Caenorhabditis elegans: one gene and its partner. The protein of the gene in region 2 interacts with the protein of the main gene of each other region in a pairwise test. Each region holds a gene or a part of one and is shown on either strand. Other genes may lie near its edges.

The links. The genes of interacting proteins can lie anywhere in the genome.
Region 1: the proteins of T02H6.11 (region 2) and hsp-17 interact in a two-hybrid assay, tested with the Caenorhabditis elegans proteins (one large-scale study listed by BioGRID).

What each region holds. Positions count from the first base shown.
Region 1 is NC_003283.11:8,382,009-8,389,159, reverse strand, and holds hsp-17 (SHSP domain-containing protein), read left to right. Parts: upstream 1-3,232; 5' UTR 3,233-3,245; coding exon 3,246-3,292; intron 3,293-3,602; coding exon 3,603-3,840; intron 3,841-4,101; coding exon 4,102-4,266; 3' UTR 4,267-4,352; downstream 4,353-7,151. Other genes in the region: gcy-7 (Guanylate cyclase), read right to left, coding at 1-183, 284-403, 493-605, 649-774, 820-931, 975-1,222, 1,298-1,407, 1,518-1,708 and 1 more; F52E1.14 (ZP domain-containing protein), read right to left, coding at 4,353-4,547, 4,594-4,733, 4,892-4,991, 5,040-5,216; F52E1.5 (Chondroitin proteoglycan 3), read right to left, coding at 5,572-5,895.
Region 2 is NC_003280.10:698,395-704,984, forward strand, and holds T02H6.11 (Cytochrome b-c1 complex subunit 7), read right to left. Parts: upstream 2,732-6,590; 5' UTR 2,724-2,731; coding exon 2,514-2,723; intron 2,465-2,513; coding exon 2,387-2,464; intron 2,339-2,386; coding exon 2,234-2,338; 3' UTR 2,088-2,233; downstream 1-2,087. Other genes in the region: thoc-1 (Death domain-containing protein), read left to right, coding at 3,721-3,791, 3,837-3,976, 4,022-4,140, 4,194-4,312, 4,376-4,454, 4,507-4,613, 4,978-5,086, 5,193-5,342 and 2 more.

The DNA of each region.
Region 1 (7,151 bases), on a different chromosome or scaffold from region 2:
ATTACGAGTGCCTTTTTCATTTATGGTAACATTTCCAGACATTCCAATAAAACTTTGAGGAAAATATCTCATGAAGGCAGTTGCATTACGATACTGGGCTATTTGTCCCGCTTTCAGCATTTTATCAAGTGCAACACCGTAGGCATACACAGCATCATGCAGTTGACCAGCATAGGTGGCAGCCTAAAATATTGAACGATAGTTTTACATTTTTGGAGTAATTTAATAGTTTGATGAATAACACACGCTTCTTTTCTGAAAGTTTTACTTCTTCAATACCTACCACTGTAAAGTTTTCCCCTTCACAGTCCTTTGTACAAAAGTAGGGAGCCTCTTTCATTCTGGCAATTATTTCTTGTCCGAATATTGTATAATTCGTTGCAATTGATCCTTGTCCCATCATCTGAAACATCATGATTTTTTGGCCTTCTTGGGTGGCTTCCGTCAGATAAAATATATTAGTTTGATAAGGCTACAAAAATGAAAACCTACGTCACAAATAAAAATGGATTGCTTGAAAGCTTTTAAAGCTCGTGTGTCGTTTTCATCAGACCCAGTAGATAGAATCCAAGATGGACGTTCACCTCCTCCAAGCAATGGAACAACTGAAATAAAGAATGTTTCGAAATACTTTCATGTGGATCCTACCGTATCCCTTTGATTTAATATCAGAAAAGACGTAGACGTATTCATCCCCAATCATTCCAGCTTCTTCCGCTGCCAGCAACCACTTTCGGCGCAACCCAATTCCATCCTTCATACATGTTACAATTACTGTAATTTGAGAAATGTGAATATTAAAGTTTAAGTTAATCTTACTTCTTCCTCTAGATTGAATCTTTTTCAGAGCCTCAATCATTCCATCATTTGAAATGTCGGCAACCTGGATGGAATAAGCAAGAATGATGTCTCCAAAGTATGATACTACTTGCTGAAATTCTCTTGTATAAAGTTGACACACCTTTGTAATAAACCTGTAAATCATTTCTCATTGTAACACATTTCTCCGTGTCTTCTTCAGTGAAATAAGCGTATACAAATTGACTCCACTCATATCTTTTCAAAACAGCTCGAATAGCAACTCCGAGACTTCGCTGCCCCGCCGACAGAATTCCGGCATTTGGAAATCTTTCGAAATCATCTAACTGAGCAGCGTTTACAAGACCCCACGCAATAATTGGTCGATTGAAGTAGTTAGATACAATAAAAGCAGCTAGCGTAGCTGAAAACATAACTGGTTTTTAAAGATTGGATCCAAAAATTAACTGTTACCAAAACATTTGAAAAATTTACTTACGCTGGTTCATAGTGGGCCCAATGATGACGTCCACGTTGTGCTTCTCTATAAGATCAACAGTCATTCCAGCGGCTTCAGATTCTACGCAATCGTCAAATTCAATAGTAAAACTGAAATTATTTTCAAAATTTACAAGATGATATGAACTATTAAAACTCTTCAATCCGGCCTGTCTATTTTTTTTTACAAAACAGTATGGCATTAGAAATAATCTACTTACTTGAATTCCCAACCACTCATTAGATTCTCCCTTTTCAATCTATCAACTGCAATTGAAGCTGCTGCTGCAGATGTACGATATCCAACAGTGATAGGTGCACTTTGAAAGTCTCTACAGTGAATAAATCCCACTCGAATCACATTTCCAGTGGTACCTGTTGCAACTTGGGGAAACATAGGTTTAGGTAACAACTGAAAAAAAATCATTTTTATTTTGTGGAATTCGCTTTCAAAACCTACCGTAATCACTAAAAACAAAACTAGAGACATTGAATAGAAGGGCTTCATGATTATTTTCTTATGCTAAACTGGCAGACAGCAGATCTTTTTATATCTGCACAAGGGGCGGTGGGATTTATAGAAACTTAAGTTTACTACGCCTGCCGCCTAATCCGTGAAACCTTATTTTTATATTTTTCCGCCTCCCGAAACAGTTGATACGTGAAAAAGCACGGAAGAGAAAAAAGCTTCTTTTGGACTTGATTAATCTGTTGGTCATGAGAAAGCGTGACACAAGGTAGGTTACGGTAGCAATTGCGTAATTAATCGGATCAGTCTATGCGCATTTCTGAAACATTGGGGATTTCAAATCTAGTTTATCAAACAGATACAAATCACATTGACATCTCGTGGAAACAGTCTGTAAAGTACCGCAAATTTTACAATTTTTGATATTATTGTCGTTAAACAAGTTCCATTTCAAATTTTTTATTGAATACGGTAAAAAAACAAGAGAGGCAGCTGGTTGAAGTGAGTCACTCTTGTTGAGTTTTCGTTACTGGAAACCTGAATGAAGATAGTTTTTAACTTTAGCATTACGCCTCATTATTTTCCTATTTCCTTTTTACTATTTTACTTGTATTTTTAAACTTTGTTTAGCACATTGAGCACATAAAACCAAATGTTATAAATATCCTTATCATCAACCCATCGGTTTCTTTTTAACTTTTTTCTTTCTCGAATTTCAATGACCCGGAAAACCACCACATCATATGAAAATCGAATCTAAAAATTTGCAGATACGCATCTGTCCTGCTGCGCTCTTTTTTTATTTTTGAATGTTTTTTTTTCTGCAAACGTTGGGAACAGTCATCCAATCCTTCAACCGTTCGTCTCGTTTTGAATGACAAACGTTCTCTTTCCGTCCTCTGTTTGAGTATATTTACATTGCTAATTCAAAAAAAAATAGTATAGAATATAATGATACTTAGAGATAGTTCTGGCATAAAGTTTAAACTTGAATGAAATCATCAATGCCATTAATAACTGTGTCACTGCATTAGTTTATCAGCAAGTGTGCCAGCAAAAAAAACGTTTCGAGACGATTCGATACATTCCTGAAAAACTTCGATAAAAGGGAAGTATCCAAACAACCACACCCAACTTTCATCATTGACTCGCTGTTTTGCTTTTTATTTTTGTTAATCTTCCTTACAATTAGTTTTAAAGTTTAAAACAAATATTACATGTTAGAAAGAACTGTATTTTGGTCAGTTTGTTCGAATAATTTCGAAATCTAAAACCTTTTCTTTTTGATGATTCGTCGGAGTAGATGTTTCTCGAAGGAGGTAAAAAAAACCGTGGGCGATTCTTGTTTGCATTGAGGATAATAGAGCAGTAGTAGAAAAGCAGGGAGTGTCAACTCAGTTTTGTCTTCTTCTTCCCCTATTTCTGTCTTACTTTCGTTTTGTTTCTTTGAAATAATTAGATTTTCAGAAACTATTATAAAATGGATCGTCGTTTTCCACCATTCTCCCCATTCTTTAACCATGGCCGGTAAGTTTCTAAATTCTCGTGTTTTCGGAAACTTCTATAGTTGAAGTAACATAACTTTCTGTAAATTTTCTTCTTTAATAAGTGACGTCACTCAAATTGTACTCTGCGCCGCTAGTTCTTAAAATACACAAGAATTTAATTTGGCGCGATTTCTAAAAATAAGCTAGCGAGAGGACTTTGTACTCCAGTTTAGCAAATAATGCTCTGAAAAATCATAAAGACTGGAGATTTTGACATATTTTTCTGCAATTAGAAAATTAGAAAATTAACTTTAAAAATTTTACAAAACTCCTACAAACAAGTTTTCTAGCAGATTCTTCGATGACGTCGACTTTGATCGCCACATGATCCGACCATACTGGGCCGATCAAACAATGCTCACTGGACACCGAGTAGGAGATGCTATTGATGTTGTGAACAACGATCAAGAATACAATGTATCTGTAGATGTTTCACAGTTTGAACCAGAAGAGTTGAAAGTGAACATTGTTGATAATCAGCTAATCATCGAAGGAAAGCATAACGAGAAGACTGATAAATATGGACAGGTGAGGGTTTCCCTCCTTCTTGAAAAACTCAAGTTTTGTATGAAGCTAGTGCAACTTGAAAATGTTTTCATGCATCCTTAGATTAGCTCTCAAGATCCTGAAACCTTACTCGGAAAAGGGCAAAAAGTTATCCAAAATAAAGGCCAAGAGTTCTAGATTATCCTTCCGCCTGTTACGCAATACAAGGAAGCCAAGCAACTCATTTCCGAGCTTATAACGAAGTTGTACTAAAGTCTAAAACCTCGTTGTGCATACTTTCAGGTAGAGCGTCACTTTGTCCGGAAGTATAACCTTCCAACAGGGGTCCGTCCAGAACAAATCAAGTCCGAATTGAGCAACAATGGAGTGCTCACTGTCAAATATGAGAAGAATCAGGAACAGCAGCCAAAATCCATTCCAATCACAATTGTGCCAAAGAGAAACTGATTTCAGTTACCTAAGTGTCTGTATTTTAACTATTTCAAAAATATTTATTCAATTCCATTATTGAAGTGACAATATAAACATTTTGTTTAGACTCCAACAATCTTTTGAACCGTAATGAATAGAGCATATGGGAACATGGATGGCCTCTTCACTTTCACATAAACTGAGCAGAAGTTGAAATCATCATAATAATCATAATCGATTCGAACTCCTTGTGAGTTTAAATCAACTTGCATTGAAGCGATTGAAGTATCGTTTGGTGATCCAATCGTTGAGAAAACCTTGAATTTAATCATGAAATCTTTTCAAATAGTGACGAAATTATACCTGTTGTGCTAGAGCAAGTGGAAGACTTCCATTGATAACTGCAGATGATACAATGACGTTTTCGAGTGTTTTATCTTGACAATGAGATTGACACCATTGAACTTGGGATACATCTTTTCCGCAATTGGAAAGTGAAGCGTCTGGAAATTTCTTAAAATCGATAGGAAATCTTTTAAAATTAGTTTAGAATACTGATGCAACACATTAAACATGATAAGATTCATTCTTTCCTGTTAGCAGATTAATTTATAATTGATGAGCTTTCTCTATCAATGACGTTTTTTTTTAGATAACTCACCAAAGTTGGTATTAAGTGCAACGTCGGTCTTGACTTTTACAGAAGAATCAGCAAGCTTCACATGGGAAGAATAAGTGAGAGTATGTGACATAAAGTCGTTCTATAACAATTTATATCAAACACTAGTGTTTTCTAATTTTGAACCCACATTGACACAGAATCCATTCAAACTGAAATAATTATCTGGCTCATAAGCATTGAAGAAGATATTCTTAGCATGTACTTGTGCCCATGTAGAAGGTTTTTGTGTCAAATCACAGGTAACACTGGCTCCAGCCAAAACTGTAAAAGTCGAGAGCAAGACAAACAAAACACGAGAGCACATGGTTACTACTGATAATGAGCCATATCAATTTCCTTTTATAGACGAAATTTTTGTAACTCTTTTAGTGACACTTTCTGGTTTCTGAAACTGATTTGGTTGTTTGCTTTGCACTTATCGAGAGGTTGAAGAGTGGGTGGAAAGTCAAAAATCCGATTAAAACAAGGAATAGTATTCAGGAAATACTTTGAAATGTTTTATACTTTATCATGTCGTTTATCAGGTGATTTGATATTCAAGTGCCAGAAATTATTATATTCTCGTAACTGAAAGTCACCATTCATTTATCATTTTATTCAACCCGAAAAGAATGATGATTACGTGAAAGTTTCTATTGACTATCTACATTGAATGATAATTATTTTCCAGCTGGCTTGAAATAATGCACAGGTAGTTTTGAGCCAACTCCAGAACCAACAAAACATTTGCATTTTCCGACTCGGCATGGAAGACCATAACAATTGTCTGATGTTTTTGTACATTTTGTTTGATGGCAGAATGTCAGAAGTACTTTGACGAAAAGTTTGTATCCGTGAGAATGGAATGCATTGACACAATCACAATTTCCATTGGAATCACAACCATTTCGTAGGCCACCACAATCCAAATCACTGCTGCACTTTTTGTTAGTAATGCAAGCATTACAGTCACATAGTCCAAGCTCACTTCCGAAACATTTTCCCTGAAATTTACAGACTTACATTTTTTAGTGTACCTATTAAGGGGGAGCAATGCCCATTGGATTTAATTTAATTTAATTTAATTTATTACGATAGTAAGATATCGTGAGGTAGAGAAAAAAAGAACACACATTAATAGATACAAACCATCACAAGTGGTTACATAAACAAATTACATAAATAAAACGAAACAGAAATAAAAAAGAGATGAGAAGAAAATAATGGCTACATTGGAGAAGAAGCAAAAAACACAAATATCGATGTATAAACGGCAAGAATAAATGATGGATAGAAGTGAGGATAAGGTAACATTAGATCAGTGTTGCTTCATTGTGGGTAGTGTTCTGTTGACAAAAAAGTGTCTCCTAAGTTTAGATTTTCCTGTGCTCCAGATATATTTCTTTTTAGAACGAGTTTGGGTCTCTTGTTGCTCAAAAAACTCAGATGTTTTTAAGTCTACTTTACCAGTATTCATTCTGGTTACTTGGATTCTGTCAATTATTTTACGTCTCGTGCTTAAGGTTTGGAGGTCGAATAGTTCGTTACGTTCCATGGCAGTTTTGTAATCTTTATCAGTTGGATTAATATATCTTTTTTTGATTCTACTATAAAGGCGCCTAGTGAATGCGTTTTGTACAGACTCTATTGCTTTCTCATCCGATTTTTTTGTCGGAGAAGACACTACTGTTCCATATTCTAACGAGGGCGGATGAAAGTTTTGTATAAGAGAATCATTAGTTTCTTATTGGAGGTACTGTACTGGTTGAACATGTTGGCCAGTTGAAATTTAGCTAGATTGATACATTTCCTCCAATGCTCAGAGAAATCCAGCTTTTCAGAGATTAAAAATCCAAGGTCTCTGGTAATAGCTTTTCGCTCAATAGGGTAGCCGTCTAGGTGGAAATCTGTTCTACGTTTTCCTACTGTGACGTGAACTGTCTTAGATTGGTTTAGAGTGAGTTTTGATCCCCTTGTCCAATCTACTACAGCATCTAGAGCAGACTGTAAATTGTTTTCGCTTTCAGTCTTAGGGGTCGATACATACAATTTCGTGTCATCTGCAAACTGTTTACATGCTACTTTTTTGGGTAATATTGATGATATATCATTAACATAGATACCAAACAAAAGTGGTGACAGAACTGCGCCTTGAGGGACGCCACAGGTGGCCAATTTTCTAGATGACAGCGTTTGCCCAATTCTAACCCTAAAGCTTCTATTTGACAGAAATTCATTCAACCATATCAGTAAATTGTTG
Region 2 (6,590 bases):
GGTGAGACCCATCGTGGTGAGACCCATCGTGGTGAGACCCATCGTGGTGAGACCCATCGTGCTGATACCCATCGTGACGAGACCCATCGTGATGAGACCCATCGTGACGAGACCCATCGTGGTGAGACCCATCGTGGTGAGACCCATCGTGACGAGACCCATCGTGGTGAGACCCACCGTGGTGAGACCCATCATGGTGAGACCCATCGTGGTGAGACCCATCGTGACGAGACCCATCGTGGTGAGACCCACCGTGGTGAGACCCATCGTGACGATACCCATCGTGGTGAGACCCATCGTGGTGAGACCCATCGTGGTGAGACCCACCGTGGTGAGACCCATCGTGGTGAGACCCATCGTGGTGAGACCCATCGTGGTGAGACCCATCGTGGTGAGACCCATCGTGGTGAGACCCATCGTGATGAGACCCATCGTGGTGAGACCCTTCGTGGTGAGACCCATCGTGGTGAGACCCATCGCGGTGAGACCCATCGTGACGATACCTTTCGTGGTGAGACCCATCGTGGTGAGACCCATTGTGGTGAGACCCATCGTGGTGAGACCCATCGTGGTGAGACCCTTCGTGGTGAGACCCTTCGTGGTGAGACCCATCGTGACGAGACCCATCGTGACGAGACCCATCGTGGTGAGACCCATCGTGATGAGACCCATCGTGGTGAGACCCTTCGTGGTGAGACCCAAATTTTTGGCGGGAAATTCAAATTTTCAGTGAAAAAAATTTTGGCGGGAAATTCAAATCAGTGAAAAAAAATTTTGGCGGGAAATTCAAATTTTCAGTGAAAAAGTTTTGGCGGGAAATTCAAATTTTCTGTGAGAAAAATTTTGGGGGAAATTCAAATTTTCAGTGAAAAAAATTTTGGCGGGAAATTCAAATTTTCAGTGAAAAACATTTTGGCGGGAATTTCAAATTTTCAGTGAAAAACATTTTGCCGGGAAATTCAAATTTCTGAGAAAAAATTTTTGGCGGGAAATTCAAATTTTCTGAGAAACTTTTTGTTAGCTTAAGTACCACCTGGAACTGGCGAGACCTATCGTGGTGAGACCCTTAAAAATATGGGCGGGAACTTCAAAATTTATGAGAAAAGAAATTTTAGCGGGAAATTCAAATTTTCTGAGGAAAACATTTGGCGGGAAATCCAAATTTTTGTTCTGGAATCAATTTTTTTGTTTCAGCACCTTCTGGAAGTTTCAAGAAAATTCTAGACTGTTCTAGAATCATCTGGAAAATTTAAAAAAGTTCTGAAATGCTCTACAACCTCCTAAAACTGTAGGAGTTTTTATTTGTTTCGTTACATCTATATTCAAAGAACTTACTATTAGTAGTTAATTATTCAGACTTCTCCAGTTAAGGAAAGTTGTTAACTTATTAAAAAAACTGTAACCCTGTGGAATTTTTTCGAAAGCCTGATAATGATAATGTGTAGTAGAAAAATCAGAACATTCTAACTGTCTCTTTGAATTTTCTGAATAGTATACCATGGAAGGAGAAAATGCGATTTAATCGATGAAGTTTCAATTTTTTTTAATGAGACATTTTTGAATGATTAAAAGGACATCTATTTGTTATACATTTTAAACTCCGCCAGTCGTTGGCCGCGCCGGAGGCGCGGTCATCGGCTGGTTATCGAATAAAATGTCACGATTTGAAGTTTCGAAGTTTGTAGTTTGTAGTCTAGCAGACCAATTTTCAATACATCTCTGGAGTCACTTGGATTTCTCTGAAAAATATTTTTTAAAAATGAGGAATATTTGGAGATTAGAAGTGAAAATTTTGTAAAAATTGCTTTAAATCGAGATTTTCCAGGCTAAGGAGTTAATTTTCAGTGAGAAAACCGTCTGAAAACGCAAAAAATCCAAGTTTTTCAATTAAAAAACCCATTGGTCTGCTAAATCGAAATTTGTAGTTTGTAGCCTAGCAGACCCATTCTCTTCAAAATCACTTGGGTCTGCTAAATCGAAATTTGTAGTTTGTAGCCTAGCAGACACTTGAATCATCTGATTTGTCTGAAATTCTGAAAAAATTCGCGTTTGATTTGACTGTGAAACAACAAAAAAAAATCGAATTTCTAACTCAAAATTTACTCACAATTTCAAAATTCACACGATTTTCCCGCTAGAATGCCGAGAAAAACGTGGTTGAGAGAGGTGATTTAACAGAAAAAGACGAAAAAAAAGGGCGCGGAAAATTATAATTTTGAAGAATTCGAAGAATCTAATGTTGCTTCATTTGGTATGGTGGAATGAGTCCGGATGTCTCGGCGCGAGCCTTCTTCTCTGCCTCGATCTCGTCCAAATATGGCTTCAAGTACCACGATTCCTGAAGAAAAATAGATTTTTTAAAGTTGAATTTCGAGTGAAAAGCTACCTGATCCCATTGAGTCCATTCAGCCTTTGGAAGCTTCTCGCCGTGGAGAGCCAAAGTGTGGGCACGTGAAAGACGGATCTGAAGTAAAAAAAGATTGAAAATTCCAATTTTTAATCGATTTTCTCACCTTTCTCTGATCGAAAACGTGTGGCTCCTGGAGATTAAGGCGTCTGAGAGCCTCGGTGACTTCTGGAGCCGGCTCAAAGTAGGTGTCGTGGAATTGGAGCCCGTACTCGCGTCCTCCCCACAAGTTGCTCCATGCGAACTTGCGAAGCGTGCTGGCGATCGTGCCGTTGTAGGCGAAGGTGACGGCTTTTGAGGCGGCTTGACTGGCCATTTCGTTACCTGAAAAGAAAAAAATAAAAGAAAATTAGTGGGGAATTCTGGGGAAAAGCTGAAGAAAAACTGAAAAAATACAAGTTTTCACATGTTTTTCGGGAAATATCGATTTTTAGCTCAATTTCTCGGATTTTAAATGATTTTCTTGAGATTTTTTACATAAAGTCACTTATAACAAGCAAAAAATTAGGCAAAAATGCACAATTATCATTGAAAACTCTTAAAAATCCGGCAAAAACAAAGATAATGCAAAAAATTCTCAAAAATCAGATTCCAAGCGATTTCTCGAGTTATTTTACAAATTTACGCATTAAAACTGTCAGAAAACCTCATAAAGCTGATTTTTGTGCTTAAAATGCAAAAAAAATCGGAATTTCCAGCTAAAAATCAAAGAAAACCGAATGAAAAGGAAAATTATGAATTCGGCGGTGTCGCTAAACAACACGCAGGGTGTTATTTCGGAGCATCGTTGTGAACAAATTTTTGGAAATTAATTTTCTCAAGCTTTCAAGCATTGAGAACCTAATTTTTTGAAGTTAAAATACACATTTTATGATGGTTTTTTCTAATAAACTAAAGAAAAATTTCATAGGAATCGATTAAAGGGAAATTGAAGTATTTTATTTTTAACTAACGCCATGTAGCAGATAGATAATATGTTTTTTCAAAGTTTACTATGTTAAAATACTCCTTAGAACTTGATGAATTCAGATTTTTCACCAGAAACGTTGCCGGATGAGTATTTTGTGAAAAAAAAATAAGAAAATTGGCTGAAGTTTGATTTACGGTAAACAACACGCGCCTCGTTATTTCGGAGCTTCGTTGCAAGTGATTTTTTTTCGATAATTTTTTTTTCGAATTAATTAATTTTTTCATTAAATTGAACCGATTTCTATTGATTTTCTATTTTAAAATTGCGAAAATAAACAAATAAAAAATTTTAGTCGTTAATCTCTCAACTTTCACCCGTCAATTTTAATGTTTTAGGTCAAAAAATGGAGACAGTTATCGAAAATCGGGATTTGGACGGGTTAAAGGAGGTTGTGAAGGCGGAAAAAAAGACTGCGTGAGTTTTTAAAAGAATTATCAGATAAATAATGCAATTTTACAGGAAAGACGACGAATTTGTGCTTCTAAAAGTCGACGGGTTTCTGAAAAAGCGGGGATTCAAGGTCGCCGAGCAGCCTTCAGCCACCAAGGAAGAGCTTGCAAGGCGGCATTTTCATTTTGTGATGAATTGCTCCAAGCTTGGTAATTATTTTCTCGAAATTTCGTTTAAAAATGAGTTTTTTGCAGGTTTGTGCTCCAAAAACACTCCCCTGAGCACTCTACAGGACCTCTTGGAGATGAGCTCAATTGAGGAGTGTAAGCAGATTTTCAGCATAGTAGAAGAGAATATGAACGAGTTTAAGCAGGTAAAAAGCCGGTTTTCAAAGAATTTTCCCGATAAAAAGCGGATTTTTTGCAGCCCGGCTTCATTGAAACCGCCCAGAACAATATTCTACGCTTCTGCAACGATTTGCTCCGCCGCTTGAGTAGAACCGCTGAAACATCGTTCTGCGGAAGAATTATGTTCTTTCTCTCGAGGTAAAAAGCGAAACATTTTCGAAAAATCCCAAAATTTCCTGCGAAAAACTCAATTTTTTCCAGATTCCTCCCGCTAACCGAAAAATCCGGTGTAAACTTTATGGGACACTTCAACACGCTTAACGTTACCAACTACGACGAGGTATTTTTTCGGTTTTTGGACTGAAAAATCGCAAAAAATCGCAAAATTTCAGTCTGAAACCGACGGTGAAGCTCTTCTCGCTGCCACGTCATCGGCTCCAACACCTACGGAAGGAGCAGAGGATATGGAAACTGGAGAAATCGAAGAGGATAACTCAAAGTACGGAAAAATCGGAAAAAAGCGAGAAATTTCCACTGAAAAATATCATTTACCTGAATTTTTTGGGTCTGCTAGACTACAAACTACAAATTTCGATTTAGCAGACCCATGTGGTTTTGAAGAGAATGGGTCTGCTAGACTACAAACTACAAGTTTCGATTTAGCAGACCCATGTGGTGTTGTAGAGAATGGGTCTGCTAGACTACAAACTACAAATTAGCAGACCAAATGGTTTTTTAATTGAAAAACTTGGATTTTCAGCGATTTCAGACGGTTTTCGTACTGAAAATTGACTTTTTAAGCTAGAAAATCGCAGTTTTGAGCATTTTTTACATGATTTTTCGAATATTTGCTCATTTTTCAGAGAAATCCAAGTAACTCCCGAGATGTATCGCCAGTTTTGGTCCCTTCAAAAATTCATGTCAAATCCGAATTCAATATACGAAAAGGAGAAGTTTTTGACGTTTAAAACGGTAATTTTTCGCTGAAAATCACTGAAAATTGAGGTTTTTTGGCCGGAAAAATCGCTGAAATTCCACAAATTCTAACTGAAAATCGCCAAAAATCCCTTTTTTTCAGGATTTGACAGCAGTTCTCACCCTAATGACGTCGAATAAGCTGGAAAAACTCTCCTCCGAAGAGGAAGAAGCTCTGGAAAATCGACAGAAAAAGCAGCAAAAAGGATCCAGTAACGACGTGTTTTTTACCAAATATTTGACGTCTCCAAAGGTAAAATTGGCTGGAAAATTGATGAAAATCGATTTAAAAATGATTGAAAACTGGAAAAAATGATTTAAAAAAGCTGAAAAACGCTGAAAAATGACCAAAATTCCCACTAAATCATCGATTTTCTCCCAGAATTCCCCCAAAAATCTCAAAATTTTTATTTTTTTTCCAGCTTCTCGCCCTCCAACTCAACGATTCTTCATTCCGACGGTACTTTTTAATGCAGGCGATCATTATTTTTCAATATTTGACAGCAGAATCTCGATTTAAACCCCCGGCAAAGTGAGTTTTCGACCGAAAAATCGAGGTTTTGACCTAAAAATTGCGATTTTTGAGTCAAAAACCGTATTTTTTGACCGATTTTCAGCAGAAAATATGATTTTTTGACCGGAAAATTGCGATTTTTGAGTCAAAAACTGCACTTTTTGACCGATTTTCAGTAGAAAATATGATTTTTTTGACCTAAAAATTACTTTTTTTTAAAGTCAAAAACTCTATTTTTGACCGATTGTCAGCAGAAAATATGATTTTTTTGACCTAAAAATTGCTTTTTTTTTTAGTCAAAAACTGTATTTTTGACCGATTTTCAGTAGAAAATATGATTTTTAATCAAAAAAATTTCCAGAAAAATGGTGCTAAACGAGGATCAAGCGAAATATGTGTCAGAATGTGAGGATAAATGCTATAGATTGCTGGCTGATACGATGCCACGTGGCACTGCATTCGTTGCCGGGCTCAAGCGAATTATGCTCCGCGAGCAGGAGTGGAATACGTGGAAAAATGCGAATTGTGCAGATTTTTCCGAAAAAGCCGATAAAGGAGCCATGCAGATGTACAAAAAGTGCGGAAAAATTTGAATTTTTAGCTGAAAATCGTGAAATTTACCGAAAAAAATTGATTTTTAAGCTGAAAAATCGCAGGAAAAGCTGGAATTTCCAGCTGAAAATGTAATTTTTGGCTAAAAATTCCCATTATTGTGGTGAAAAATTGCTGAAAAGAGAAATTCTTGGCGGAAAATCTTGATGTTTGCCGAAAAAAAATTTTTTAAGCTGAAAATTGGAAAAAAAGTAGCAATTTTTAGCTACAAAAGCTGAAAAAACCCACTATTAAGGTGAAAAATTAGAAAAAATTGAATTTTTTAGCTGAAAATCAAGAAATGGATTTTTAACTATTAGATTTAAGAAATTTGGAATTTTCAGCTGAAAATATCCATTTTGTGCTGAAAATTGCACAGTTTCAGCGGAAATTTGA